Linked DNA regions of Canis lupus familiaris. The protein of the gene in region 1 interacts with the protein of each later gene in a pairwise test. Links are inferred from orthologs where the notes say so. Each region holds a gene or a part of one and is shown in the gene's direction. Other genes may lie near its edges. The genes, in order: UBQLN1, HSD17B12, mitochondrial dynamics protein MID49-like, TMCO6, LITAF, TMUB2 and UBE2V1.

Evidence for each region.
Region 2: the proteins of UBQLN1 (region 1) and HSD17B12 interact in binary tests that used the Homo sapiens proteins (3 or more experiments, as listed by UniProt). The link is inferred for Canis lupus familiaris from reciprocal best matches to the Homo sapiens genes UBQLN1 and HSD17B12.
Region 3: the proteins of UBQLN1 (region 1) and mitochondrial dynamics protein MID49-like interact in binary tests that used the Homo sapiens proteins (3 or more experiments, as listed by UniProt). The two-hybrid records come from large-scale screens. The link is inferred for Canis lupus familiaris from reciprocal best matches to the Homo sapiens genes UBQLN1 and MIEF2.
Region 4: the proteins of UBQLN1 (region 1) and TMCO6 interact in binary tests that used the Homo sapiens proteins (3 or more experiments, as listed by UniProt). The two-hybrid records come from large-scale screens. The link is inferred for Canis lupus familiaris from reciprocal best matches to the Homo sapiens genes UBQLN1 and TMCO6.
Region 5: the proteins of UBQLN1 (region 1) and LITAF interact in binary tests that used the Homo sapiens proteins (3 or more experiments, as listed by UniProt). The two-hybrid records come from large-scale screens. The link is inferred for Canis lupus familiaris from reciprocal best matches to the Homo sapiens genes UBQLN1 and LITAF.
Region 6: the proteins of UBQLN1 (region 1) and TMUB2 interact in binary tests that used the Homo sapiens proteins (3 or more experiments, as listed by UniProt). The link is inferred for Canis lupus familiaris from reciprocal best matches to the Homo sapiens genes UBQLN1 and TMUB2.
Region 7: the proteins of UBQLN1 (region 1) and UBE2V1 interact in binary tests that used the Homo sapiens proteins (3 or more experiments, as listed by UniProt). The link is inferred for Canis lupus familiaris from reciprocal best matches to the Homo sapiens genes UBQLN1 and UBE2V1.

What each region holds. Positions count from the first base shown.
Region 1 is NC_049222.1:76,347,002-76,351,119, forward strand, and holds the start of UBQLN1 (ubiquilin-1), read left to right. Parts: upstream 1-1,318; coding exon 1,319-1,498; intron 1,499-4,118. UniProt on the Homo sapiens protein: Plays an important role in the regulation of different protein degradation mechanisms and pathways including ubiquitin-proteasome system (UPS), autophagy and endoplasmic reticulum-associated protein degradation (ERAD) pathway.
Region 2 is NC_049239.1:26,448,243-26,452,451, reverse strand, and holds the start of HSD17B12 (very-long-chain 3-oxoacyl-CoA reductase), read left to right. Parts: upstream 1-1,409; 5' UTR 1,410-1,546; coding exon 1,547-1,706; intron 1,707-4,209. UniProt on the Homo sapiens protein: Catalyzes the second of the four reactions of the long-chain fatty acids elongation cycle. This endoplasmic reticulum-bound enzymatic process, allows the addition of two carbons to the chain of long- and very long-chain fatty acids/VLCFAs per cycle.
Region 3 is NC_049226.1:41,511,469-41,515,643, reverse strand, and holds the start of mitochondrial dynamics protein MID49-like, read left to right. Parts: upstream 1-1,375; 5' UTR 1,376-1,496; coding exon 1,497-1,563; intron 1,564-1,577; exon of another isoform or gene 1,578-1,757; intron 1,758-1,763; exon of another isoform or gene 1,764-2,352; intron 2,353-3,811; coding exon 3,812-3,966; intron 3,967-4,157; coding exon 4,158-4,175. UniProt on the Homo sapiens protein: Mitochondrial outer membrane protein involved in the regulation of mitochondrial organization.
Region 4 is NC_049223.1:34,924,537-34,928,695, forward strand, and holds the start of TMCO6 (transmembrane and coiled-coil domain-containing protein 6), read left to right. Parts: upstream 1-1,359; 5' UTR 1,360-1,409; coding exon 1,410-1,494; intron 1,495-1,623; exon of another isoform or gene 1,624-1,642; coding exon 1,643-1,755; intron 1,756-3,970; coding exon 3,971-4,086; intron 4,087-4,159.
Region 5 is NC_049227.1:31,518,769-31,522,694, forward strand, and holds the start of LITAF (lipopolysaccharide-induced tumor necrosis factor-alpha factor), read left to right. Parts: upstream 1-1,126; 5' UTR 1,127-1,229; intron 1,230-3,926.
Region 6 is NC_049230.1:19,083,157-19,087,411, reverse strand, and holds the start of TMUB2 (transmembrane and ubiquitin-like domain-containing protein 2), read left to right. Parts: upstream 1-1,455; 5' UTR 1,456-1,601; exon of another isoform or gene 1,602-1,655; intron 1,656-1,736; exon of another isoform or gene 1,737-2,150; 5' UTR 2,151-2,240; coding exon 2,241-2,275; intron 2,276-2,836; exon of another isoform or gene 2,837-3,087; coding exon of another isoform or gene 3,088-3,092; intron 3,093-3,824; coding exon 3,825-4,255.
Region 7 is NC_049245.1:37,222,839-37,226,772, reverse strand, and holds the start of UBE2V1 (ubiquitin-conjugating enzyme E2 variant 1), read left to right. Parts: upstream 1-1,134; 5' UTR 1,135-1,150; coding exon 1,151-1,172; intron 1,173-3,934. UniProt on the Homo sapiens protein: Has no ubiquitin ligase activity on its own. The UBE2V1-UBE2N heterodimer catalyzes the synthesis of non-canonical poly-ubiquitin chains that are linked through Lys-63.

The sequences.
Region 1 (4,118 bases):
ATTTGCGCAATACTGATTAATAAAGCTAATGTCCTGGGTTCTATATTCCTTGCAAGTCATCTTTAAAGGCAAATGACGTCATTTCAAAGCCCGAGTTCTAGGGGGGGGGGAGATAATTAAATTATTTATACCCACACTCTACTAAAAAGGATTTTTGAACCTAAAATCTGAACTGCAGGAATAACTTGACAGAATGTAAAACGAACACCTCGGCTTCATTCAAGCGCCCCAGGTGGGGGGGGGGGGCAGCCCTTGGGCCCCCGTTTCTGCCCCCGTACTTTGCGGGGCAGCGTCCAGAGAATCCGGGGCGCTCGCGCAGGCTGTCCGGGCGGGGGGCGGCGGCCTGTCAGCAGAGGTGGCCTGATCGCCAGACCCAACCGGCTGACCCGAGGGCGGGCCGCCCGGGCCGCGGGGCAGTGACTCCGCGGGATCGCGCAGGGTGGCTACGGCCCACTCTTCCTTCGTTACGACGAAGCGCCTTCCTCCATTAACGTAGCTTCCACCTCCCGCGCACCGGGCAGTACGGGCAAGCATCTCAAAGGCCACAAGTGGGCAAGCGGACGGCTGTTACCGCGACACCCGGCACTCCCACTGCCCTCCCCGGGGTCCCGGGTGCGCGCAAAGGCGAGGCGAGCGCTACGGCGCGGAGGGGCCGGGCACGGCCGCCGCGGGGTCCGCAGGGGGCGGGGGCCGCCGCCGAACCACAGCGCGCAGGCGCGTCCGCGTCGCCCAGTGGTCGAGCTCCTTTCTAGTAACTTCGCTAGGCGTGAGGTCATCACCGCGCGCCGTTACCGTGCTTCCCAGAACACGCTAATTTGTTTTTTAGCCAAGGGGATGAAATGAAATGAACTGATCCCTCCCGCCCCATTTTGCTTTTAGCTCTCCTCTCCGGCTGCGCCTACCCTCTGGGCCATGGAGCCGGGACAGGGAAAGAAAGGCGGCCGGGGCTGGAAGCGGGGCTGGCCGGGCATGACTCGGCGACGCCGCCAGCCGACTTACCCGGCGTGCCCTGCGCGGCGCCGGCCGAGGGACGTGGGGGGAGGGGCGGGGAGGAGGAAGAGCGGCGGCGGCTGCGGATGTCGCTGCGACCGAGCGGCGTCTGAACTCACGGCGGCTGCCGAGCGCCCAGCCCGGGCCTGCGCCGGAGCCCGCGCCGAGCCCCGCGGCCCCTCGCCTGCCAGGGCGGCCCCGCACCGGTTGTCACTGAGGCGGCGTGCCCCGCGTTCTCCGCTGCCCGGGCCGGCCGGCTCTGCCGTCTGCTGGCTCCCCCTCGCTCGCCCGCTCCCTCCTGCGCGCCTGAGTCACCGCCGCCGCCGCCATGGCCGAGAGTGGTGAAAGCGGCGGCCCTCCGAGCTCCCAGGACGGCGCCGCCGCGGCCGAAGGTGCAGGCGCCCCCGCGGCCGCTGCGTCCGCGGAGCCCAAGATCATGAAAGTCACCGTGAAGACCCCGAAGGAGAAGGAGGAGTTCGCCGTGCCCGAGAACAGCTCCGTGCAGCAGGTGAGGGCCGCCCTGGCCGCGGGCCCGGGTGGGGGTGGCGGCGGGACCTCCGCCCGCGGCGGGAGGAGACCGTCCCCCGAGGTGCTGTCGGCCCGCCTCGCGGGTCTCGCCCCGAATCAGATCACACCCAAGTTGCCGGGTGTGCTCCTTGGGACACCGCAGAGGCTTGTGGCGGGGCCCCGCGGCCTGCTGTGGGACGCGCCGACGCCGCCCCCTCCCCCCGCTCCCGCGTCCGCGGACCACCAGCCCCCGCCCCAGCCCCCGCCCCCCGCCCCCCGCCCCCCGCCCCCCGCCGCCTCCCTCCCGCTGCTCACAAAGGAAAGGGACCACCGCCGCGCTCCGGGCGGGGTGGAGGCCGGGCTGGGCGAGGGTTCGCGGTAGCCTCCTCTGCGGTTTTGTCTCCTGAGTTAAAAAAAAAAAAAAGGGTGGGTGGGTGCCCATTGTTTCACCTGCTTGCAGCTTAAGGTCGATTTTGGGGCGAGGAGCACGTGTACATTTAGTTCTGCGTTTTGATTGCTGAAATCTTTTCTACCTTCTAATCTTCAAAAAAAAAAAAAAATTAACCATGACGTAGAAATCGTTTTCAGCCACATCTTAATAGTACTAGCCTTAAGGAAGAAAGGTGGATGACTTTCATTGATGACTTGCGGTTTTCTTTTTAGTGTTTATCATCCCTTAGGTGCCAGTCATCGGGAAGGTTTTTGTTTGATTTTAGAGGGATGGTAGCCACGTTTTGCAGATATTAGCGGTGGCAGTCGAATGCAAGAGAACAAAATTGGAGTTAATGGAGAATATTGCCAGATAATTTACTGCTTAAAATTGGGTTCGGGTGTACAAACTTTGCTGTTCAATTAAGAATCTTGAAGAATTCAACAAATTTGTTGTAGCTTATTGTTGAAAATATTTTGCATAGTTGTTGACCTCTGACGATCTAAAATGGGAACAGTTTGAGGGAACAACAATGTGAAATGTACATGTAAGTTTTCTCATAAACTGTAAATGGGATATTGGTTTACATAATCGTTCTGAAAGGTGGTGTAGAGTAGAGCAGGAAATAGTGGTGTAAATAGAGTAGAGCAGTAAGTAGAGTGTACCATCAACTGAGAAACTTTTACCACCTACTGAATCACCTTTTGTGTGTGTGTGTGTGTGGGGGGGTCCCCAATTGTATAAAAATTTCTCTTAACATTTTAATATTTTCTAACATCTAGCAGAGTTGAAAGAATGGTACAGTGAACATTCATAGTTCGTCACCTACAATTGACGCTTTGTTTTATTTGCTTTATCACGCAACTAATCATGTATTACTTCCTTTTACTTTTTGAATGCATTTTAGAGTAAGTTGCAAGTATCATTAAATGTTTTCAACAAATACACCTATATGATCCAAAGTTTTATCAAGATGTAGAACTTTACAGTTCAATCACTCCCCTCCATACATCACTGTTTTGATTTTTTTCACCATTAGTTTTTGCCTGTTCTAGAACTTCACATAAGTGGGATTATATAGTATATATTCTGTTGGGTAAGGTCTTTTCACTCAGTGTAATGTTTTTGAGATGCATTCTTGTATATGCCAGTAATTCCTGTTTATTGCTGTGTTTTCCACTGTGTGAATATGCCATTAATTAATGCATTCTGCTGAGGGCCACATGGGCTTCTTGCAGTTGGTTGCTGTGAACATACAAACTTTTTTTGTTGGACAGAGGGAGTTTTTCCTGTTAAAATTCTTAGAAGTGGAATGACTGGGTGATAGCGTAGTTGTAGGCTTAGTTATGAGAAACTGTCTTTTTAAAAAGAGCTTCTATCGCTCTTTTTTAAAGGCTGGTCGAAAAGAAACAACCCAGATGATTAACAACCCCTTAGCTGATGAATAAAGAGTAAAATGTGATATATTCCCCTACAATGGAATACTATTCGGTATTCCACCAAAGGTTCTACCAAAGGTTCTTGGGAGTTCCTGTTGCTCCACATCCCTGCTAGCATTTGATAGTGTCAGTCTTTTTCATTTTAGCTCTGCTAGGTATATTAGCTTTTGAAGCCCTTAGATCTTCTTTCTAGGATTGCTAATTCAGGTCTCCACCTTCATGCCTGCTTTCAGCATTTTATTGTAAAGGATTGGAAAGAGTCAATATTTTATAAATAGAAAAGTACATTTAAGTTATTTTATGAGGTACTGTCTGTTAGGATTTATATATATATTGTGTGTGTGAGAGTGACATTAGAATTTTAAAGCCTGTGGGAGTTTTAATTTTACTTTTCTGTAACCAAAGTAAATTGGTTAAATTAAAGCTTTTCCGAAGCAACTTATTCTGATGACATTTGAATTTTTATTCTGAAAAGTGCTTTCTGTTGTCATTCGTTCATTAAAATTAGTGCAGAGAGCAGAAGGGAGCTTCCAGGTAACGTGTCTAATTAGCTTGTTCCGGGATTTTGTAGTGCTCTAGGTTATAGTAAAAGATTTTGAAATCTAGTTCTCTGAAATATTCAGGCAACATATATTCTAGTCTTAGAAAACATTTTTATCATTTGAAACTTTTAGAATATTCGTATACTTAGATATAACAAGTATTGCATAGATTTGAGCCTTTTCTTGTTAAGGGAAATTGCTGTGTGTCAG
Region 2 (4,209 bases), on another chromosome or scaffold:
GTAAGGAGCTCAGATATCTTGAGGGCCCTTAGTTGGTGAGCAATGATGAATCAGGATACATGCATCAGGGGCTATACTGCGGTGAAGACTGGCTGGAGGGCGAGGTTGAGACAGAGCAATGGTGGAATTTCATGGACTTGGACAGGCAGCCTCGGCCGAGGTGTCAAATTCAATCAAAACACAATGTGCCTGCTCGACTCACACGGCTGATTTCTGCTAGACACTTGACAGTTTATAAAGAACAGTAACAGCCTCAGGGTTATAGTTAATTAATCTGATGAGAGGGTGGAAAAAGAGTAGGGGGGCTGGGCAGAGGGCTAAGGCTCTGAAAGCACATATATTAGGACATTATTACCTTAGCTTCAGGATATGTCGGGCTGTTGATTCTTACAATTACTACCCTTCAATTCGTGCCTTTTAAAAAAGCCTCGAAATCAGCAGTCCCTACCGGCTAAGAAAATGTTAGGGATTTTATATGAACCCAGATCCATGCCCGAAAAAGGAAACAAAAACTCTTGGGTGGACGAGAGAGGGAGGGCAAAGCAGTCTATTACGTTACACAGGTGCTCGCGCTTACCTTGTGGAGCTCTGCCAAGGTGATTTTCTTATCTCTACTAGGTCCATACACTTTTCTATCTCCCCACCCCCTCCAAAATTTTTTTTTTTTTAGATTTTTAAAAAGAGAGTAAAGAAACCTCTCTATCGTCATGGAGTCTCTTCCCCAAACTCCTTATTCATCAGCCTGTGTTCCTCAATTTCTCGTTCATCTTCCAGCTCCTATGTCCCCGTGCGTGGTCCTTACCTGGTCCATGGTCCTTACCTGGGTCCATGGAGTTATTTGCCCTGAACTCCAGGGCCTCGGAGACGCGGCGCTTAGAAGGCCCCCGTGCGGGTCACCGGGGGAAGGTGCCCGCCGCGGCAGGCACAGACGCGCGCGACGCGAGCCTCGACCCGGGAAACTTCACGAGGGCGACGGCGGCACGTGCACCTGACGGCAGGATAGAGCCCCTGGTGGGAACCAGCCCGCGCCTCCCCGCCCACCTGTTACTACCGCCCTCCATTCATTCGCAACATCGCGGACCCCGCCCCCTGGAGTCCCGGGCGCCCGCCCAGCCGGGTCTCGCGGGCCAATCGGAGCGCAGCCTCCCGCAGGCGTGAGCACGGCCGCAGCCAATCAGCGGCCGGCGCGACGCGGTGGGGTGAGCCGGGCGGCATCCCGGGGGCGTGGCGACGCGCGGGGCGGGGCTGCCGCGGGATTGGCAGGCGGGCGATCAGCCGGCGCCGAGGGGACCCGCGCCGGGGGGCGGGGGGAGCGACGTGGGCGGGGAGCGAGGCTGGAGCCAGCCAATGGCTGACGCGCTCCGCGCAGAGGGCGCGCCGGATAGCCAATGGCGGCGCGGCTATGGCGCCGTGGGCGGGGCTTAGGCTCGAAGCGGCGCCGGAGCCGCGCGCGTCGGTGTAGTCTTCGCGGTCACGGCCCGCGCCTCTTCCTGGATTCATTCATTCGGGGCTCCATTCACGGAGGTAGTAAGGCCCGGCTGGAGCCATGGAGAGCGCTCTTCCTGCCGCCGGCCTCCTGTACTGGGTCGGCGCGGGCACCGTGGCCTACGTGGCCCTGCGCCTCTCGTGCTCGCTCTTCACGGCCCTTCGGCTCTGGGGTTTGAGTCACGAGGCAGGGGTCGGGCCGCAGCTCGGAGAGTGGGCAGGTGAGTGCAGCCCGGCGCCCCGCTCCGGGCCCCCCCCGCTCCCCGCGGGCCCGCTGGACCCCGGCCGACCCAGGCTGGCCCGGCCCGGCCGACTGTGGAGGGGCCGCGGCGGGGGGCGGGGCCTGGCGGGGGCGGGGCCTGGACCCCTCACCTCGCGGCCCCCCGGGCAGTGCCCGGCGCTCGGCGGCTCGCCCCCGGGACGGCGCGTGTGTGTGTGTCTGTGTGTGTGTGTTTTAATAAAGTTTTTCGCTTGATTTGAATAGTGGCCCCGTGCGCAGGACGAAAGGCATTCTGTGGACTTTGCGGGGCATGAGGAGGGACGAAGAAGACGTGGAATTTCACAAGTCTTCCTGCCTTTTTTTTTTTTTTTTTTGAAACTTGCCTCTCTCCCAGTTATTTGGATTCGGTCTGTTTCGTAGGATCTACGGGGTTTTGTTTTGTTCTCGATTGTCCTAAACTTCCCTGGAGTCCTGCGGTGTCACAGAGCCACCGCTTCTGCAACACGGCTGCTCTCCAGGTAGAAGTCAGGAGCAATTTTTTTTTTTTTTTTTTCAGAAGGAGGTTTATAGGAAAAGGCCTCGTTCCATTCCGCTGGCGGGCCCTAGAGGTGGAAGGGAAAGGTCGCGGGGGAGAAGTGGGGAAATCACTTGCATCGAAGTTTTGTGCTTGCTTTCTTTTTTTTGTTGTTGCTTTTCTGACTTTTTCGTTTCTTCTTTTTTGTTGCTTTTCTGTCTTTCATTTCTTCTTCTTCTTCTTTGTTGCTTTTCTGTCTTTTTCGTTTCTTCCTCCTCCCCCTCTTCTTCCTCCTCCTCCTCTTCTTTCTCCTCCTCCCCCTCCCCCTCCCCCTCCTCCTCCCCCTCCTCCTCCTCCTCTTCTTCTAAACCAAGTAGTGTGCTGTGGTCGGTCTCTGTGTCTGCGATTATCCTGCTATTTCATGACTGAACGTACACTCACTTAGCATTTTGATTGAATCTAGGAGTGATTAGGGATTGCTGTCAGACTAGGCTCAAGTAAGTACACAAATAAGGCAACTCCACAGTCCTCACTTTATTCATTCAAAAACATTTAAAGAAGTTAGTAGGAAAAAAACATAAGAAATTTAACCTTTTGGACAGCGACGTAAAGAGATTTCAAGCAGGAATGGATGGATGTGTAAGAGCTTTGTCCAGGATGTGAAGCAACTATTCACGTTATAATACGTATTTTATTTATTCATTCATTCATTCACTCATTCATTCATTCATGATAGACATAGAGACACAGAGAGAGAGAAGCAGAGGGAGAAGCAGGCCCCATGCAGGGAGCCCGATGCAGGACTCGATCCTAGGACTCCAGGATCAGGCCCTGGGCTGAAGGCAGGCACTAAACTGCTGAGCCACCCAGGGATCCCATATTATAATACTTATTTTTAAAAGTCTCTTAGTGTTTTCTGATATTCCTTGAAAAAGAAGTGAAGTGCTCAACTTGATTATAATAGAGTTTATGATTTCACAATTGACTTGCCTAAGTTCTTGATTTGGAAAACTTGCTTGTGAACTTTTGAGATAGTTACACAAGATTCCAGTGCATTAGGAAATCGCATATCAAGATGAAGTTTTGTGATTTGTCAGCAAAGAGTAATGATAATAACTTTTTTTTTTAAGATTTTATTTATTTATTCATGAGAGAGAGAGGCAGAGACACAGGCAGAGGGAGAAGCAGGCTCCACGTGGGACTCTATCCCGTGGGACTCTATCCCGGGACCTCTGGGGTCACTCCCTGGGCTGAAGGCAGACCTCAACCACTGAGCCACCCAGGTGTCCCTTAATAACTTTTTTTAAAATAATTTAAAAATTTTTTTTATTTATTTATGATAGTCACACAGAGAGAGAGAGAGAGAGGCAGAGACACAGGCAGAGGGAGGAGCAGGCTCCATGCACCGGGAGCCCGATGTGGGATTCGATCCCGGGTCTCCAGGATCGCGCCCTGGGCCAAAGGCGCTAAACCGCTGCGCCACCTAGGGATCCCCCTTAATAACTTAAAAAAAAAAAAAAACTATTTAAAATATAATAGGCCCCGGTGACTAATAACTCAGATGGTCTAAGTCATCATTGAAAAGGTTTGATCCCAGAGGAAGGATACTTGCTAAATTGAAGGAAATGTCTAAAAAATTTAGAAAAGAAATTTGGACCAGAATGCTGAGATAGAATAGAGAGGATCATAGTGTTGTAAAGTGACTTTGTGATTGTTGAGTTCAGTCTATCCTGGATTGTTAGAAAAATCTGTTCTTTAGGTACTTAAGCAGAAGAAATGATAACTTGTTATTTGTAACATTACATATATGTGGTGGCCTGAACTTAAAAATATTTACTTTACCTCTCCAAATTCAAGGAGTCTTTGAAAAACAAAGTCTTCCACAGCTTTGTATCTGTTGGAGGGATGCACTGAAATAATTTGACAAGCAAAGCAGCAGAGATGACGCTTGAATAGAGTTAAATTGTGATTAAAATTAGGTAGATAATTG
Region 3 (4,175 bases), on another chromosome or scaffold:
CCGCGGGCTGGGCCGACGCCGGCCCCGCCCCTTTAACCCGCCCCCGCCCGGCCCGGCGGCAGGCGGAGCCCCGGCCGCGGCCCCGCGCGTCACCCGGGGAACCCGGAGCGCCGGGCCTCCCCGGGCCTCCCCGGGCCTCGGCTTCCCCCGCCGTCCGCTGACCCCGGGCCCTCGGAAAAAGTCCGGGCTCCCCCTGCGCTCCCGCAGGCTTCTAACCTCCACGCTGATTTCAGCGACCTATGGCGGGGGGTGCCGCAGACCCTGCAGGCCCGGGCTCCGCCCCCGGGGCAGCCGCAGCCGCTGGAGTCCGGCCGTGACCTCTGCAGCGATTAGGGACCCAGGCCCGGGGGCGCACGGACCTAGGCCTTGGGTCCTAGGGCTCTGGGCTAACCCCAGGTCTGCTCCTGCCTCAGCTTTCTCATTTGTGAAATGCTTCCTAAGGCTGTCGCCAGAAACAAACTCAGGTGTAGGTCGCAGCATACAGCAGGCGCTCGATAAGAGGCACGTTATCATTCAGGCTCTCTTTACTTCCTTGCGCCCCCACCAGCCGGCACATAATAGGTCCCCAAGAAATAAACGCCGAGTGAGCCACAGGTTCTATGCACGGTCACCCTTCGCGGGGGGAGGGGCCTTGTGATACCCACTTCAGGGGAGAGAAGACTGAGGCCAGAACGGAGCAGTGGCCCGCACAGGGTTACACGGCGCAGGTGGCAGGGCCAGCCTCCTGGGTCACGCTGTGTGCCCCGCGCGCCAACATAAAATAATAAAGCCACACTGCGCTCTCAGAGGTGACCTCAAGGGTCAGGCAAGCGGGCCTTCGGGCCAGGTACCACCTGTTTGCCGGGCCCCGGAAACAACGCGAGCCCAGACAGTTCTGTCTACTCCGCAGCCTCCCATGCGAGCACACGCGGCTTCCCACCAGGCCCTCGGGTCCGGCTCATCCCGACCCGGGTCCCGGTCGCCACCCCGCCCTGCGCCTTTAAGCCCGAGTGCGTCCGGGAGGCCCGCCCCCGAGGGGCCGCGCTCGTCAGCGGGGGGCGTGGCCTGCTCCTCACTGGCTGAGCCGCGCAGTATTTTGGAACGTGGGCGGGGCCTCGGGCGCTCCGATTGGACCCGGGGCTTGTTCGTCTGCTTGCGTCGGAGGTCAGGGCCGCCCCCGGGGCCTCGGGGTTCGGTTCCCGGGTCCTCCGAGTTCCATTCCCAGGCGGGCCCGGGCTCAGGACCCAGGGTCGCACCCGCTGTGTCCTGCGGTCGCTGCGCCGAAGCCGCGACGCCCGTGCGACCGGAGTGCGGCTGAGCGGCCCGGGTCCCCCAGACCGGGGCGTGGAGCGTGCGTCGGACGCAGGTCGGGGGCGTGGTCTCCGCTGGGGCCCGGGTCACGGCCGGGGAAGGGGGGAAGGGCTTTGCGCCCCGGGCCGGAGTTCCAGTGTCGAGCCTGCCCCTTTACGTGTTGGGCGCCTCAGTGCACTTCTCGGGGCCTGGTGCCCTCCGCGCGGATGGGCCCCTCCCAGGCCCTCCCCGGGGTTCCTGCGCGCTCGGCCCAGCCCCGGCCCCGGGCAGCAGGTGTGGCGGAGGAGGGGAAGGGCGGGCGGCGTCTCCCGGCGTCTCCCGGCGCCTGGTGGGGGCCGGGCCGGCAGCGCGGAGTCGGGTTATTTTTAACCACCCGCGCCTTCTCGGCGTTCCGGGAGTTGGAAGGCTGCGGTTTGCGGCCTGCGCGACCCCGCCAGGGGTTGGGCTGAGTCCCGTTCAGGCAGGAGGTATTGAAAGCTTTTTACACTTTGCAAGTGGATTCTGGGCTCCGCTGGAGATGGCTTGCAGTATTGATCATCGAGGAGGAAGTAACTAAAAGCGGCCGCCGGGCCTTGGTGGGGCACTCCCCTAGCCTTTGACCAGCCCAGGCCCCAGAGCCCTCCTGTCCTATTTTTACTCTGGGCAAATCGGGGGGCGGGGGTTGGGGCTGACTCCGGTGGTGATTCAGGCTTCAGCTGCTCTAGGCATCTCGTCACCTGGCAACTGAGCCCTGGGCACCCACAGCGGATCCGAGAGGACAGAAGTCCTTGGTGCCTGGGCTGGCTGCGAACCCACGGTCATCTGGTTCAGGCATCCGCAGAGAGACAGCGCTGCCTGGTGTCTGACTGGTCCTCCGGGCCTCAGCTTGCACCCCGGCCACACGCCCCCTCTGCTCTCAGGGCCTGAGGCAGGAAATCCCCCGGAAGAACCAGAGGTTGGAGTTTGGGGGCCTAGGCCTGGGTGGGATCTCTGTCTCCACTTCCCAAGTACCCAGGCCTACCCAGCCTTATAGTTCTGGGTTCCCCACGTGTAAACCTTCACCACGCCTGTGCCATTTTACAGGTGAACAAAGCCTCATCTTCCCTTCTCTGTTGCCTCGGTTTCCAGTCTTTGACAGCTGCTCCCCCATCCCCGCTACCCCTGCATTGTCTCAAACTTGAGAGGCCCAGAGAGGCCCCTGTCCAGAGGCACTGGGCAAGTTCTCTGTTTGGGATGGGGGGTGGGGTCTTTATTTTTCACCTACTTTTTTTTTTTTTAATTTTATTTATTTATTCATGAGAGACACGACACACAGAGAGAGACAGAGACACAGGCAGAGGGAGAAGCAGGCTCCACGCAGGGAGCCCGACGTGGGACTCGATCCCGGGTCTCCAGGATCACGCCCTGGACTGAAGGCGGTGCTAAACCACTGAGCCGCCCAGGGATCCCTACCTACTTATTTTAAATATTTTATTTTTAAGTAATCTACACCGAACATAGGGCTGGGACTCACATCCCCCGAGATCAAGACTCAGACGCTCCACAGATGGAGCCAGCCAGATGTCCTGTTTGGGGTCTTTGGAGTTACCCTGCTTGCTGCCCCCACAGGCAGGCCTCAGCCTTCATTGATGTGCCTCCCTGGGCAGCCTGGGCCAGCTCACTCGTCCTGTCCTTTGACTTGATAGCTCTCCCTCCAGGGGCTACTCTATTGAGATCTGGTGGCGGGGGGACCTCTGTTGAGGTCAAAGGCCTGAGGGGCCCTGCAGGGCAGACTGCTAGGACCCCTGGCGGTGTCTTCTTTAGGCCAGAGTTCCCTCCTGCCTATGCCCAGCCCCGGTTAAGAAGCAGGACGAAGCAGCCTCTTGGAGCTGGCTGCAGGCTCCAGTAGACTGACTGGACTCTGGGGGTGGGCCAGAGTCAGGACACTTTGCAGGATGGGTCCAGGTCCCCACCACTCACTGTGTGGTTCGGCAGCCTATATCTCTCTAAAATGGGGATAGCGATGATGAGACTCACTTCACCATCTTAGGTCATGTCAGGGGTCCTTGAGGATGGGATGGAGAAGATGGGCCTCCTTTTCTCACCTGGCACAAGTCTCAGGGCCTTTCTTTTTTTTTTTAAAATTTTTTTTTAAATGTTAATTTATTTATGATAGTCACAGAGAGAGAAAGAGACACAGGCAGAGGGAGAAGCAGGCTCCATGCACCGGAAGCCCGATGTGGGATTCGATCCCGGGTCTCCAGGATCGCGCCCCGGGCCAAAGGCAGGCGCCAAACCGCTGCGCCACCCAGGGATCCCTCTCAGGGCCTTTCTACATGAGCTCCTTGTCTAGGGAGTGGGTGGGCTATTTGCAGGTTTGCAGTGTGGTAGAGGTGGGGGTTTGGGCAGCCCCATCTCCTCCCAAGAAACCGTTTCTCCTGAGAAACTCCCAGGAACTCCCTTCATCAGCTCTACTCACGACAGCCCCAGCATGATGGGGTCGGCCCCACTGCCAGCCTGGCCGCCCCCCCACAGAGCTGTCTATGTCTACATCCTCTTACAGGCAGACAGACCATGGCCGAGTTCTCCCAGAAACGGGGGAAGCAGCGTGATGAGGTCCTGGGCAGCACCGTGGACTTCCTCCTGGCCAATGCCCGCCTGGTGCTGGGCGTGGGCGGAGCCGCCGTGCTGGGAATTGCTACCCTGGCTGTGAAGCGGGTAAGGCCAGGCTGAGCCGCTCAGAGCTAGGGCTGCCCGAGGAGGACAGTGGGGCCCCAGGGGGAGGGGGTGGGGAAGTGCCCAAAGCTGGCACCTGCTTCTCTACCCCAGCAACCTGGCTGGCGTTGCCCCTGGCCTTGGCCTGGCCACACAGGCTTCGGATGCTCTGATCCATGTCACTCTGCCGGCAGCTCATTGACAGGGCCACC
Region 4 (4,159 bases), on another chromosome or scaffold:
CACAGGCAGAGGGAGAAGCAGGGTCCATGCAGGGAGCCTGATGCAGGACTCTATCCTGGGACTTGAGGCTCACGCCCTGGGCTGAAGGCAGGCGCTACTGAGCCACCCAGGGATCCCCTCCAATAAAAATTCTTAAGTGCTACCAGGACTCTATTCTGTTGGAGGTGTGAAGGGGGTTTGGGGAGGAAATAATTACACTGTAACTTCATGACAGTAAAAAAGGTTATGAAGTATATGGTGCTATAGGCTCTTAAGACAGGGACAGAGGTCCAGTAGTTCTGAGTAGGGGACATTGGGAATTGAGATATTGAGGGTGGTATTAATTAAGGGAAGGGTACTGGTTGGGGGGCCCCCAGGCAGAGACAGAGCTCTAGGCAGAACAACAGCCTGGGCAAAAGCCTGGAGAAGGAAAAGAGTAGGGTTTGTTTAGGGAACAAAGAGAAAATCCCAGGAGAGGTGAATAAGGCGAAGTGCCCTTCCAGTGAAGAAGCTTATTTTGTCACAATGCAGATTCTGAGGGTGAGGAACACGGTTTTTAAAAAATTCATCAGTGTTTTCCCAGTAACTAGTAGTTAGCGGTGCTCAAAATTTGGTTTAAGATTTACTTTATCCCTAAAATAATGCGAATCACTTTGGGGCACAACAGTGAAATAATTGTATTTGTCTCATTTTCTTCATACGAACATAATAGGGATAATTGTCGTCGTGGAGAATATTCAAAAGGGAAATACAAATCCAGCGTTCATCAGTTGGAGTCCAGTTTTGGGTGAAATCTTCCTAGAATTCGGAGTAGTTTTGAATGTTCGTCTAGGGTATGTTATGTGTGGGGAGGTTATATTTGTTGAGTGGAAGGTGACGCATTGGACCCGTACGACGTTGAATTTCTTCCCGGAAATGGGAAAAAGAAAGACGTGAGGGCGCCTGTCTTGGGCTCAGGGCGTGATCCTGGGGTTCTGGAATCGAGTCCTGCCTGGCGCTCCCTGCAAGGAGCCTGCTTCTCCCTCTGCCTGTGTCTCTGCCTCTCTCTCTCCTTCGGTCTCTCATGAATAAATAAATAAAATATTTAAAAAAAAAAGAGAGAGAAAGAAAAGAAAGACTTGAGAAGGAGAAATACCAATCAGAAGCAGAGGAGGTGCTGCGGGTCTCGCCCGCTTCTAGCTGTCGCCCCGCCCTTCCCTGCTCTTGCCCCACCCCATTTTCCCCTCCCTTCGCCCCGCCCCTCCCGCGGTCCGGCCCGCCGCACCCCTGGCCCCTCCTTCTCGCCCCGCCCCGCCTCCATTCTGAGCACCTCCTCTGAGCGCCCACTCGCACCTCCTTTTCCGCCTGCGCGGCGGCTGCGCGGTCCGTGCAATCTTGTAGGTTCGGGCTTCCGGGTTCTGGGCTCGGAGCGAATTTTCTCCAGCTCCGCTATGTGGAGCGGCCGGCAGGGCCGCCTCAGGCCGGTGGGCTGCGCAGTGGAGGAGCTACGGTGCCGCTGGAGGGAGCGGGAGGCAGGTGCGGGAGGGCGAGGGAGACGGGAGGATGCGGGGCGCGGTGGTGGTGGTCTGGCGGTTGGGGTTTGGGTGAGGGGGCCTCCGGGTCGCTGAAGGGATTCAGGGTCCTAGGTGCCCCTTCTACGTTCAGCCGGCTTCTTTGTCCCCAGCGCTGCGGAAGGCGCGGAGGGAGCAGCAACTGATCAGTAAGAGGCTGCTGAGAGATGACGCCCTGGAGGAAACTGAAGGGGGATGTGTGGCCATGACCCTCGGAGAAGCCGAGGTGAGGGGACCTGGTACGCGGTGAGGTCTACGCCGCCGGGCGCCAAATTCCTTTAGAGGTCCGCGCCAAACCTGAACGCGGTCTCCTCAATAAATACCTCCATCCAGTGGGCCAAGCCAGAAACTGGGAGATCATCCTCTACAACTCTGTCCCTTGTCCCCACAGCAGTACGTCGAGCCCTAGCCGTTCTTCACCCCTAAAGAGCCCTGGCACCTTTACGATGGTGTACATCGCAGCTACCACCATCCTCTGCTCCGTAGACTAATAATTGCCTTCTAACAGGTCATCTGCATCTATGCTTTGCGGACTTCAAGTTCATTCTCCATATATCAGATGTCTTAAAAATCCACATCTGCTTCCTTCCTAGATGTATGATCTAACGTTTGCCTACCTCCAAGTTTGCCAGTTTACTCATCTGAGCCAAAGTTCCCCCTTTTCCATTTTTGAAAGACATATTGGGCTCTTTCCTATCTCAAGGCTTTACTGGGTCCTTTTTTGTGTTCTGTCTTGACAGCGTGTTTGCAGAATATAAATTGTACTAATTGTTTGCTTGTTTATCGTTTCTCTAACTAGACTTTAAAACCCTGGGAGTCTAGACCCCATCTTACTTTTCATTGAAAACTCAGATGCCCTATAGTATCTGGCATATAGTGGATGCTCATTATTTATTAAGTGAATGACATGATTAGTTTTAGCTGATTTATTCATTCAGCAAGCATTAGGTACTCCCCTTATTTATATTGCCTGTGTTTATGTATGTTGTTTACATAAGCTCTCATGCCTAGGTTATACCATTGGTTCATTTTGTGCTTACTTTATGCCAGGACACTGATGGATATTGAGGTACACAGACAAGGAGAGTCCCCCCCCCTTTTTTAAAGATTTTATTTATTAGAGAACAAGAGTGCACCCCTCGGATGGGAGCTGGGGGAGGGGGAGGTCAACAGGGACCCCATCCCAGGATCCATGGGATCATGGGATCATGACCAGAGGCTTAACCAACTGAGCCACCCAGGTGCTCTGTGGAGAGTCCCTTTATTTGCGGTCCTAACAGCAGCCCAGTGAAGACACGTGCTACCACCTGTCATGAAGGAAACATGAGGCACAACAGAAACCCCTAAGTCTTCGAAAGGAACCCAGAAAGGGCTTATTTCCCAGATATCTGAAGGGAGTGGAGGGCCTGGGGAGGGTATCCCAAGGAAAAAAAAAAAAGTGTGTGCAAAAGCTTGGAAGCATTAAAAGAACAAGTCACATTATGCTAGGTGTTGTTGGAGTATAGGTTGCATGGGGAGAATGGCTAGTGGGGTAGGTTGTGCCATCCTGAAAGGTTTTTTTTTTTTCTATTTTTATTATTTCTATTTTTTTATTTTAAAAGATTTTATTTATTTGAGAGAGAGAAAGCACAAGTGAAAGCAGAGGCAGAGAAACAGGGAAAAGCAGACTCTCAGCTGAGCAGGGAGACCACATGGGATTTGATCCTAGGACACTGGGATCATGACCTGAGGCACCTAGGCATCCCAAGAAAGGTTTAAATGTTATCCTTGAAATAGCTCTAAGACAGCAGGGAAGATGTTATTCCCATTTTTCAGGTTAAAAACAGATTTAGGGGACACCTGGGTGGCTCAGTGGTTGAGCATCTCTTCTGCCCAGGGTATGATCCTGGGGTCCCAGGATTGAGTCCCACATCGGGCTCCCCGCAGGGAGCCTGCTTCTCCCTCTGCCTGTGTCTCTGTCTCTCATGAATAAATAAATAAAGTCTTAAAAAAAAACAGATTTAGTTCTTGTAAAGGAAGTGGCAGGGCTGGTATTAAACCCAGTTCTGGGATCCCTGGGTGGCGCAGCGGTTTGGCGCCTGCCTTTGGCCCAGGGCGCGATCCTGGAGACCCAGGATCGAATCCCACATCAGGCTCCCGGTGCATGGAGCCTGCTTCTCCCTCTGCCTGTGTCTCTGCCTCTCTCTCTCTCTCTCTCTGTGACTATCATAAATAAAATAAAAATTAAAAAAAAAACAAAAAAACAAACAAAAAAACCCAGTTCTGATTCGCCCTTCTTTCTACTGCAAGATTGATGCATATTAGCCACGTTAGTGTGAATGACAGGTTCTAGAGATGGTGGGACATTGGAGTGCTCACAGGTGAAGTGGGCAGAGTAGGACTATGCTTGCTTTCTGGCAACTTTGTGTTGCTGTCTCTCCCCTCCCTGCCCTGTGCTCCAGATCCAGCAGTTCCTCGGGTTAGCGCAGCGGGGGACCGAGGAAAAGGAGAGAGAGAAGGCTCTGGTCAGCCTTCGTCGAGGCTTGCAGCATCCTGAGACACAGCAGGCCTTCATCTTGTGAGTGGGGGTGGCGTGAGTGGGGGCCTGGGCCTCTGAGGGATGGACAGGAGTGTGGAGGGGATGGGCCACA
Region 5 (3,926 bases), on another chromosome or scaffold:
GCAGCTGGATTCTATCACTGGAGGATGGTCCAGTAGGATCCAGGTCTATGAATCCCTCTCGAGTGGCTCATAGGCTCTTCACCCAAGTGGCATTTCTCTAGATGGCCATATTAGGGTTCCTTGCATCTCCAGGACTTTGTACTCTGAAAGCCACACAGGCTCCTTAATGCCTGGTGAGGACTTCTCAGAGTCCCCTGCTGGATCAGGGCTGCTGTTAATACTCTAGCAGGCAGGCTCTGGTCAAATAGGCAGGCAGCACCCATTTAGGGGCAGAGGATCAGATACAGACTTCCAGAGCTTTTAGCCAGGGAGAAAGTACCTAGGGGTGGTGGACCACCCTGGGGGCCTAGGAAGTAGTAGCACAGCAGATTGGTTTTATTTAAGACCTAATCTGTGCTAAACCCTTCTCGGTGCATTCTTAGACTTTATGAGACAGGTACTGTTATGCCCATTTTATACACAGGAAACCGAGGCCCAGAGGAGTGCGTGACTTGCCCAAAGGCACACGGAGTATTTCGGGCTGTGTGGATGCGTCTGAATGTGCAGGACTGAGCACTGGGGAGAGAAAGGCCGCCCTGCGGAGGGCAGGCAACCTTGGACCTGGGACTGGAGGCTGATGGGCCCCCGCTGCCTGAGGGTAGGGAGGAGGAAGGAATGCCAGAGATGGGGGGCCTAGGGGAGCGGGGAGAGCTGGAGGCGGGAATCAGGACGCGGAGGGGAGGGGATCGACTTGTAGGAGCGGAATCCCCAAGGGGCGACCCAGGACCGGACGATGGGGGGCTCCGAGGTCAGCGGGGGCGTCCCGGGAGTGAGCCGGGTCGGGGTGTACTCTGCGGGGTGTCCCGAGGGGCGGAGGGGAGGGGCAGAACCCGGAGGGTGGGCAACCTCGGGCAGGGACCCCGCCAGGCTGCGCTGGGTGGGCGAGGAGCAGGGAGGGGCGGGAGCCGGAGCTGCCCCGCCGCCGGCCCCGGCTCGGCTCGGCTCTGCTCGGCTCGGCCCGGCCCGCCCCCTGCTCGCCCCGCCCCGCTGCGCGGCAGGCCCCGCCCCCAACCAAGGATCGCCCCGCCCGCTGCTCGGCCGGCCCCGCCCCCGGCCATGACTAGCCCCGCCCCCTGCGCGGCAGGCCCCGCCCCCAGCCTGGGATCGCCCCGCCCCCTGCTCGGCCGGCCCCGCAGCTCGGCTGCACCGCGCGCTCAGACCTCCCGGCTCGACTGGCGGCGCGGGCGGCGGTGAGTGCAGCGCGGGCGCGGGCGGGCGCGGGCGGGGGCGCGGGCGGGGGCCGGGCTCGGCGGCGTGAGCCCTGGCCCCGGGCTCGGGAGCAGCCGCCGCCGGGAGACCCGGGGCATCGCGCGGGCCCCGGGGGTCGGGGCGGGCTGGAGGGCGCAGGGGTCCGGCCGAGCTGTTCCGCGCGGGGCCCGCCGGCGCCGGCTTCCCCGACCGCGGGACGGGCTGGGTTCCCGCCCTGCGCCCCCGAGTGGGCCGGTCGCCCGCGCTGGGATCGTCCCGGAGAGTTCCCGGACGCCGGCCTCAGACCTTCGGCTTCTAAGGGCCGCCCCCGCCATCCTGAGCCGGTGCCTTTGCGGGCGCGCGGGCGCCTCGGGAGCCCCCGGGGGGAGCGGACCGAGCGCGAAGGCAGCCGTGGCGCCGGCCAGCCCGCCTCCCCGCGGGTCAGGGGGCCCCGGGTGAGTGCAGGGGTGGCCCAGGCCCGCCCGCTGCCGGGGTCGGCTGGGTGCTGGCGGCACGGGCTGGGGGCTGGGGAACCCGTGGCAGAGGTGGGCGTCACCCCTCCCCCGCCAGGCCTGGCAGGTGAGCTGCTCCCCTCTGCTCTGCAGGTCAGACCTGGGCAGTGGGGTTGGTGTTGTGTCCGCACCTCCTGGTCAAGGTCAGGAGATGGGGAAATGGGCATATTCTGGAAAGGGCGGTACATTCCAGGCATCAGGCCAGTTGGACCTTCACTGGTTTTCTGGTCACTTTTGTGCTTCTGATTCATGGGGCGGATGTCATTACTTTTTGGACTGACATTTGGTGTTCAGGGAAACCTGGGTTCTGGAAGCCACCGGCCTCCCCTTCCTAACCCGTCAGGTTAGACTCTCCCACCCGGCTTCCCAAGAGGGGTAAATCCCTCCGGTTGGCCTCGTAGCCTGGTAGCCTGGTGCTGGTTGAGGGGCTGCCTGGAACGCGGGTTAGCCCTGCAGTTCCCCTGGGGCCCTTGTAAGGAAAGACATGGCTTGTGTTGGTATATGCTTGACTACCTCGCTTACCTTCCTACCCCCACCCCCAGCCTTTTCAGGGTACTTCTTTTAAAATAGGACGAACCGGGCTGCCATTGTAAAGGGAGGCATGAGCTGGTATCTGGGACTCCACCACCGTGTTTGGTTTTATCATAGTTGGATCAGAATCCAGAGAGCAGGTGACTGGTTCTACCTGGCATGGAAACACCCTATGCCGCACTTGGCTTAACTCTAAGCCGGCCTTTGTCTGGGATCTGAATGTGCACCAGCCTCTCTAAGAAATACCTAGTATGGAGGAGGCCCATCTTCCCTCTTTCCTGTTACTTCAAGGCATCAAGAATAGGTGCTTTCATTCGTGTTTGGAAAAGTATCCCTGTCGTGTTATTGTGGATTAAGTGACTTGGGTGATTGATCTGAGACAGAGGATCAATTTCTTAGATCTCTAAAATACTAGATAATTTGGTGAGTGGACCTCCCTCTGCTCCTTCGGTCCCTTTTATGGGCTGGCTGTGGGGGAACAAAGTGCTACCCTTGCCCGTTAAAAGACACAGGAGAAATGGCTCCTGGCCCTGAGGGGTCTACACTGTGGGTCGAAAATGGAGACACATGCAGGTGAGAAATTCAGTGCTTTCTAATGCCTGGAAGGATCTTGAGGGGAGTGGGAAGGAGGGAGGTGTGAGCAAGGAGCCAGGATAGTCACAGTGGGTTTAGTAACAAAGCTGAGGCCTGTGCTTCTGTGGCAGAAGGGGCAGGTGGATATGGGGAGCAGCATTCCAGAGGCACAGAAGGGTCTCGGCAAAGCTTCAGAGGAGGCACAGACAAGATGAGGGTTGGACCATAAAAGGGGAACCACTGGAGGGAGGAGCCAGAAGGCATTTCCAACCCAACCTAAGTTAATTTTCAGAGAGATCAGCAGTACATACTCTTGCTGTTAACCACCCCTACAGAATGGAGGCATGTATGATACCACTCTAAGAAGGGGCTAGTGCCCATCTGGAACTTAAAATTCTCTCACCAAAGACGAATTTTTTTTTTTAAAGATGAAATTTTTTAAAAAAGATTTTATTTATTTATTCATGAGAGGCACAGAGAGAGAGAGAGAGAGAGAGGCAGAGAGAGAAGCAGGCTCCTCAACGCAGGGATTCTGATGTGGGACTTGATCCCAGGACCCCCAGGATAATGCCCTGGGCCGAAGGCAGGCGCTCAACCACTGAGCCACCCAGGCATCCCACACCAAAGATGAATTAACCCAGAGCTACAGTGATGGTGAAAGAAAGAAGGCTCATAAGAGGAAGTCCTAGAGCCTTGGCACCACGTACAACCTGTCTTGTATTTCTTTATGCTTTTACTGCAATGACAGTAGCCCAGTGGGAGAGGTGGTCCATCTCATCAGGTAGACAGACCTCCTTAACTCTGCCTGTCGCTAGTACAGACATGTTGATGATGTCTTCGGTGCCCACTTGGCCTGCCCTGGTCTGTTCTGAACTTGTTTTCTTAACCTTAAAATTGTTATTTGTGCTCAGAGTGGTGCTTTCCTAGGTCCCTGCAATTTCTTCTTACTATTTTAACCCCTATTGGTATTTTGGGCCGCTTTGGCAACACTTCCTTGGCTAATATAGTTGTCCCTCGGGTGCACATGACTTCAGTAGAACTGTGTGTAGTTTCACAGGCTTTAGTTAAGACACCAACAGAAGA
Region 6 (4,255 bases), on another chromosome or scaffold:
CCTAAAGGGCTCAGTTGGTTGAGCGTTTGCCTTCAATTCAGGTCATGATCTTAGGGTCCTAGGATCAAGTCCCACATTGGGCTCCCTGCTCACTGGGGAGTCTGCTTCTCCCTCTACCCCTCCCCAGTGCTTGTGCTCTCTCTTTCACGCCCTTGCTGTCTCTCAAAGTTTTTTTAAAAACCATCTAGAAATGGTTAAAGTGGTAAATTTATGTGTATTTCACAATAAGACTTGGAAAGAAGAATAAGTCAGATGGCTTGATTCCATTCATACAACGTGCAAAAACAAAACTCATCTATGGTAACAGAAGTCATAATAGTGTCTATGCTTTGTAAATTAGTGCCTGGAAGAGAACATGAGGGGGGGGTGGCTTTGGGATCATTTTCTATTTCTTTATCTGAGTGCTGGCTCTATTGGTGTGTTGGTGAAAACCACTGAACTCTTATGAATTTGCCTCGTCTGCCTTTTTTATACTTCAATCAATAAATAGTTCGTCAGAAAACAACAAAATCCTAACATGTCTTTTGAAGAAAAAAATTTTTTAAGACTTATTTATTTTGGAGAGAGAGAAAGAGCAAGGGGGAGGGGCAAAGGGAGAGGAAGAGTTCCAAGCCGACTCCCCGCTAAATCTGGAAGCCCCTTGGGGGGACTCAATCTCATGACCCTGAGATCATAACCTGAGCTGAAACCTTATTTATTCATGAGAGACACAGAAAGAGAGAGAGGCAGAGAGAAGCAGAGGGAGAAGCAGGCTCCATGCAGGGAGCCCCGATGCGGGACTCGATCCCAGGACTCCAGGATCACGCCATGGGCCGAAGGCAGGTGCTAAACCGCTGAGCCATCCAGGGATCCCCACCTCGAAAGAATTTTAATTGCAATATCCGGCTACGTTTTTGGAGCTGAGCCTTTTTTTTTTCTTTCTGGGCTTCTTTTCTTGGGCCTTAAGTCTGCGCTGAATCTGTGCCTTCTTTGAAATGCTTTCTCGCCTTATTTACCAAGGTCTCACACTACCTGGGGCCGCAATCTTGGACCACCCGAATGGTGACTAAATGGCCCCGTCTTCTTACTAGCCCTGAGTTGAACTTTTGGAGGTCAGAGAGCCCAGTCCCTACTGATCTCGCTAACCAGGAGCTCAAGGCGCGTTACAGAGCGATAATAAACCCAACCAGCCCGGGAGGCTGGGAGAAAGACCGGAAGAACACGCCGGGACGAGGCAAGCGCCGCTCACGTTCTGCCCGGCTCTGCCAGCACGCGGGTCTTCCAGACGCGAAGCCACGCCTTCTCCCAAGCACCTCCCCAACTCCATGTGGCCCCGCCCCTCACTCAGGGGCTCTTTAGGCCCCGCCCACTGAGCGTGGCCCCGCCCCAGAAGGGCGCTGATTCCGCCAACAATAACCCCGCCCCTCCTTCCGCTGAGAAACCTGTCCCTATTGAAGAATACGCTTACGTCAGCCCGCCTTACGTAGACTTACGCCATCAGTGCACAGCGCGGAGGCGGGACTTCCTGTCTCTGATTAAAACAGCTTCCGGGAGAAGCCGGAAGAGACGGGACCCTGGACAGAATCGGGGATACCAGCCCCTCCCCCGGCCCCTACGGAAAGGTGAGTCCATGGGCCGTCCTAGCGAAGTCAAAACACTTAGTCTGGCCGTTTCAGGTGAGGAACGCCTTCCCTATCCAAGCACAGTACCGGTTCAGTCCTCCTTTAATTTCCCATGACTCCCCGCGCCCTCAAGCCCCGCCCCCAGGCCCCCAGCCCCGCCCCGAAGTTTGAGGGGTGTGGATGGTTTGTGGCCCCCTCACGGGTCTCTACCCCTTACGGGCCGGGAGAATTGAGCTTGGCGGCCAGGGACCAGGCAGCCTTTCTCTCGGGTGGGTCCACGGACTCCTCTCCAGCCCCGCGGGAATAGGGCCGCCCCACGCGGAGCCTTCGCCTCAGAAAAGGCAGGGTCGGGACCCCTCCTCACCGCGCGGTCCGGGTCGCCCACAGACTGAGAAGACAGCAAAGGCCTCTGAGGCAGGAGACCTGGGGTCCTGCCTGGCCCCTGCCCACGAAAGTGCCGTGTGTCTGTGCCAGTCGTTTTCGCTTCTATTCGCTGCAATTTCCTTTTCTGTAAATCAGGGTCGGTGACATTAACCTTCTTACCATTAGGGGCTAGTTGTGGAAGCGATAAGTAATTGCTACCATTTATTTATTGAATCACTGCAATGTGCCAGACACTGTGCTAAGTATTTTGCTTCGATGATTTCCCGTCACCGTCAAAACAACCTTATGAGGTAGGTACTATTTTTAACCCCATTTTACTGATGAAAAAGCTGAGGCCCTGAGAAAGTTGTCCGAGGTTACAGAGCTAGTAAGAGGCAAGGCTGGGATTATAATTAGGCTTTTTGTTTTTTGGTGGTTTTGTTTTTTGTTTTTTGTTTTTACTCCAGGGCCCATGTTCTAAATAAGGATGTGGAAGCTATTGAGATGTTGATATGTCCCACAAGTATTCTTTTAGCAGCTACTATAGCATTATACTGAGCACTAGGGTACATAAAAAAATACATGGTGATCCTTGTCTTCCAGAAGCCTAGTAGGGAGAGATGGACAGGTAGATAAGTATAATGAGGTTTTTATAGGTATTGTGAGGATAGTCTATTAATGATAATCATTGGATTGGATTTGCCTGGGGACAGCTGTGAAAGCCGCACATTCTCCAAGGGAAAGAGAAGGTACTCTAAGGAGCAAGCCCAGGTCCTTCTTGCCTTTCTAAGAAATTGCCAAGGGAAACCTATACAGTACATGAGGAGAGAGAGGGATATGGTTTGTGAGAGCTGTTTTGGAATCTTTTCCAGATCCTTTCCACTTAGGTGGTGGTTTTGCCGTTGTGAACCTGTGGTGACCCAGGAGGGTAGTGTTTCTCGTGCCTGTCCTCCTTTGCTCCCTAGGACTTTCAGAAGAGTTTCAGAGGTGGGCAGACAACAGTGCCTGCTGCATAATGTCTGCTGCTGGCCCCTACAGATGTGTCCTTTTGGGATGGTCTATGCTTCTGACGGAAAATTAAATTTTTGGTTCTTGACATCAGAACCTGAATACGTGACCGTGAATGAGGTAGGGTTCAAATGAGACATTCTGGCAAGAGTGGCTGCACTATGCCTCCAGAAGACCCTAAAATAAAACATTTCATAGTTTTTGGTCTTTCTGAAGCCACCTTGGAGGCTTCTCAGGGGGGCATCATTGCTAGACCAAGTGATAGAAATCCCAGAGGAGGGATCCCTGGGTGGCGCAGCGTTTTGGCGGCTGCCTTTGGCCCAGGGCGTGATCCTGGAGACCCGGGATCGAATCCCACGTCGGGCTCCCGGTGCATGGAGCCTGCTTCTCCCTCTGCCTGTGTCTCTGCCTCTCTCTCTCTCTCTCTCTCTCTCTGTGACTATCATAAAATTAAAAAAAAAAAAGAAAAAAGAAAAAAGAAATCCCAGAGGAACTGAGGGCGCAAAAAAGCAAAAAAATTTTCCCCCACCTACAAAAAAACAACAGCCAGTTGCAGCAGCAGTCACCAAACAAAGCCACGAGGTTTTCCTGGTGATCCGTGCTCACTGGGAGCTTGAAATGTGAGAGGGGGAAGATGTGGAACCTGAAAGCTAGTGTCTCACAATAGAGGCAAAGGGTTAAGTCCTTAGCTTTAGGTTGGAGGTCCAGAGGTAGGACGGTTTGTTCTCCCTTCTACAGGACACCGAATTCTATTTTCTTTCAGCACTGGGTCAGTTAGGACCTAAACAAACTAGGAACCTGGTTGCAACCCTATATACCCTGCTGATGTTATGCCCCCCTTTGTTCCTGCAGTGTCGACCCAGTCAGCAGCCAGGCCATGGAGCTCTCTGATGTCACCCTCATTGAGGGTGTGGGTAATGAGGTGACTGTGGTGGCAGGTGTGGTGGTGCTGATTCTAGCCTTGGTCCTAGCTTGGCTTTCTACCTACGTAGCAGACAGCGGTAGCAACCAGCTCCTGGGCACCATTGTGTCAGCTGGAGACTCATCCGTCCTCCACCTGGGGCATGTGGACCATCTAGTAGCAGGCCAAGTCACCCCAGAGCCAGCTGAACTCCCCCATCCATCAGAGAGTAATGATGAGAAGGCTGAAGAGGCTGGCGAAGGTGGGGGAGACTCCACAGGGGAGCCTGGAGCTGGGGGTGGTATTGAGCCGAGCCTTGAGCATCTGCTTGACATCCAAGGCCTGCCCAAAAGACAAGCGGGCCCAGAAAGCAGCAGTCCAG
Region 7 (3,934 bases), on another chromosome or scaffold:
TGGATGAAATAGATGGAGCTGAGAAATGCTTAGGAGGCACTACTGTCAAAACAAGGTAATGCACGGGATGTCCTGGATAAGGGCTTCCGGTTTCCTTGCTCCTCTGTACTGGAAGTCCTTGTCCTTCTTCTGCCAGTGTTTAGCTGTGTGACCTTGAGGCAGTCCCTTCACCTCTCTCAGCTTGTTTCTAAATCCACATCAGGACTTCTTAGACCGCTTATAATAAAAGATCAATCCCTTCTTGGATTTAACATACATTTGCAAATATGTGTCCATAGGACCTTTGCACATGCTGTTCCCTCTACCTCTTAATCAGTCTCTGCTGAATGTAACCACCTTAGGAGGCCCTCCCCGACCACCCCCTGCTGCCCCTTCCTAGGTTCAATCTCTATCCTATCATAGTTATATCTTTTCCTATTTCTTTGTTAACTAGCTCTCTGACTAGAATGTAAGCCTGTAAGAACAGACTTCAGGGATGTATATCCATTCCCAGGACCTAGCACAGCGCCTGGCACATAGTAGGTCTTAGTTAAGTATTTCTTTGGATGAATAAATGGATGAATGAATGAATGAATGAATGAATGAGTGGAATGCTTTCCTTGACACCTTAATGCCCCAAAACAAAGCTTCTCTGGCCCAGGACTCTGGCCGGGTTTCAAATTCTGATTCAGCCACCTAACCGCTAAGTTTAGATAAATCGCTGAACCTGCCCCTCAGTTTCATTTTTCACATTAATCCCGACCTGGTAGAGATATTGTGAGGATCCAACTAGACAAGGAAATGCACGAAGTAAAATAGGCTTTCTTTTCTTTTTTTCTTTTTTAGCTTTCTTCTGTATCTTCCACAATCGCGTCCTCCCAAGTCTGATCACCCTTGCCTTTCTCACCAAACACCTCAGTATCTCCTTCGCACCCGAGCCTGGAGGAACATGCAGGTTGCCGGGCCCTCCCGCACGCACATCATGTTTCCTTCCTCTGAAAAGGCAGGGAAAAAAAAAAAAAAAAAAAAAACCTTCCCGGCAACGGGTCGCGCGGTCCGCGGAGCGGGCGTCAGCAGCGGCGTCTGCGCAGGCGCGCACGCTTGCGCAGAACGGCCCGGGGACGGGCGGGGGGTGAAGAAGGGGCCGGCCTTCGAGCGACAGCGACGCAAGATGGCAGCCACCACGGGCTCGGGTGAGCTGGGGCGCCGGGCCCGGCTGGCCAAGGGGGCGCGGGCTTGGGCCGGGGACCGAGGACCCGCAAAGGTCCCTGCGGCGGGACCAGGGCCTCTGCGTTACCTCTGTCCGCTTGGCTCCGCGGTGGCGAGCCGGGCGGCCTGAGGGGGGAGGAGGAGCAGGCGGTGGCCGGAAGCACGGGCGGGGGCCTGAGGGGCCTGTGGGCGGCGCGGCGGGGCCCACAGGCTCCCCCGGGCGACGTGAGGGCCCGGCTGAGAGGAAGGACCGGCCCCAAGGCACCGCTGAGCGGCCGGAGCTAGCGAGGGGCGAGCCCCGAGGCATTCCTGAGGAGACGGAGGCTGGCGGCTCGGCGGGGACCAGGAGGTCTCCTAGGGGATGAGAAGGCTCCCCGAAACGGATGAGAGTCCTTTACTGGGTGCTGGAGGTCCGAGCGACGGGGCAGCCCCGGGATGTCCGTGTGGCAGGGACTTGAGAAAAGCCCTTAGGGAGGACGGGAGGAGAAAACGGGGTCTCGGGGGGTGACCGAGGATCCTGCATTGGTTGAGGGGACGGCTTCAGCGTTAGTTTGGGGGATGGGGTCAGCTGAGGAAATCTCCGTGTTGGTCGGGAAGGGGGCGTCTTGAGGTGGCTTTTCTGGGGGAAGGGGTATCAAAGCGCATCCCAACGGGACAAGTGAGAAGGGAAAAACGATCTCTCAGGTTCCAAAGGGATATGATCCCGTCATCATCAGGCTTTTACTTGAGGAGGATCAACTGAAGGAAGCTCCATGCAGTGGGTGAGAGTGAGGAAAAAAGTCCTGTTTCAGAGATTTTTTTCTTTCTTTCTTTTTTTTTGGGGGGGGGGGGGAGAAGCGTCCTCTAGAAGTGTCTGTTTTGTGGCCATTGTCACTCCCTAGCACTCCTTTGGATGTTGGTAAAAGATACGTGGGTTCAGCTCAGAGGTTCCCCATTTAGTGGATGGGCATGGGGAGAGGGACAAACGAAGACTCTGGATGACTTTGGGGCAGGAAAGCTGGACAAACCCCCATCTCCATGAAGCAGAAGAGGAAATAAAGGGAGCTGTACTTTGAGAGAGGGAGGTTCATCCAGTGCCTTGTGGTTTGAGGGAGGCAGCATTTATTCTGAGACTCGATTCCTTGTTCTGCACTCCTAGGATGGGCCGGAGGATCAAATCCTGAAGGGTCTGTTTCAGAGTTAACGTTCTACAAATGGACCTCAGGGGATGGACTCAGATGGCTTTCTCGAGGAGGAGGGGTAAAGATTGGCTGGGGGAGGTCCCCCAGAGGGGTTGATGAGGCAAGAAAGATTTTGGAAGTGCAGGATTTGGGGGAAGACTGAATGTCCCCCTATGGCGAGAGAGCTGTACTCTGAGGTACCAGGGATGTTGGCCAAGGAGGTCCTCACAGAGAGGGTGATGATGAGGGAAGCAAGCAGGGCCACGAGCCTGGGTACTCAAATCCTCTGGTTAGTTAAGGCCACAGCATCAGCACTGTTAAGAGAGGCTTGGTGACCTAAAGGAAACAGGGTGAAGGGAGTCCCTCTTTCCAGGGTGTTGCTCCTCTAGTACCCCCAAGAAACCATCCTTGTCTGTTACTGTAGCAATAGAGAGAATTGGCTCTAGGGGATCAGACTGAAATGACCTATCACAAGCTGCCTTTTATACTTAGAGCAGTGGGGTCCCCGATGAAGCATAGAGGAGACCACATATCCTTTTCCTAGATTTTGATTTTTAGCTGGAATAGTGCTGAGTCAACTCTTTTTTTTTTTTTTTTTTTTTAAAGATACTGCCACAGAAGAGAGAGGCTGAGTCAGGCCAGACTGCTGTGAGAAACTTCTCACCATAATAGCACCCCTGTCAGGTTGCTGTGAAGTGGGGGCTACAGTGTAACTGTGGCAGCCAGCATTATGGTCATATTGCAGCTCAGCCCAGTTTGCAGTCACTTGAGATTGGCTACCTACAATCTGGTTTAACAGCTACTTAATTCTAACTTCTTGAAGCCCTGCCAATTGATGAGTGCTTCATAAATGCTAATGCAGTCAGATAAAACATCGTCAACTCCTGTCTAGTGTCAAAAGCACTTGGCATGGTGTAGATAGCATAGAACAGGCTTTAAGGTGCTCTAAATAGTGGGCTTCCGAAAAGTCCTTTGTTTATTCAACACACATTTACTGAGGGCCTGTTATGTCCCACTGTGAATAGTGGACAAGATAGACATAGCCCCTGTCCTTGAGGAGCTTACATTCTAGTCAGGAGGAAAGCCATTCAAGGACTAAATAATTAAGCCAATTTCAGATAGCAGTGCTATGAAGGAAATTGTGTGATGTGATACAGAGTGATAAAAGTAGTATCAGGGAAGGCTTCTCTGAGACGATGGCATTTGAACTGATGTAAATGATGGAAGGAGCCAACCCTGCAGTGTATATCATAGGCAAGAGAGGTAGAGACAGTGAGTGCAAAGGTCTTGTGGCAGGACCAAGCCCGGTCTGTTGAAAGAACAGGTAAAAGGCCATAGTGTGCACAAGAGGCTTGTTAAGGAAATAAGTTGGGCAGATATGGCTTTAGGTTTTATTAAGTGTGAAGGGAAGCCCTCAAAGTGGCCAATATGAAGTAGCATTAGGTAAATACTCATTGAATGGATGAGTCTTAATGACAGGGTGCCTGGCTGACTCAGTTGTTAGAGCATGTGACATTCAAACTCAGGGCTGTGAGTTTGAGCCCCACATTGGGCAGGGAGCCCACTTTAAGAAAAAGAGAGGATTG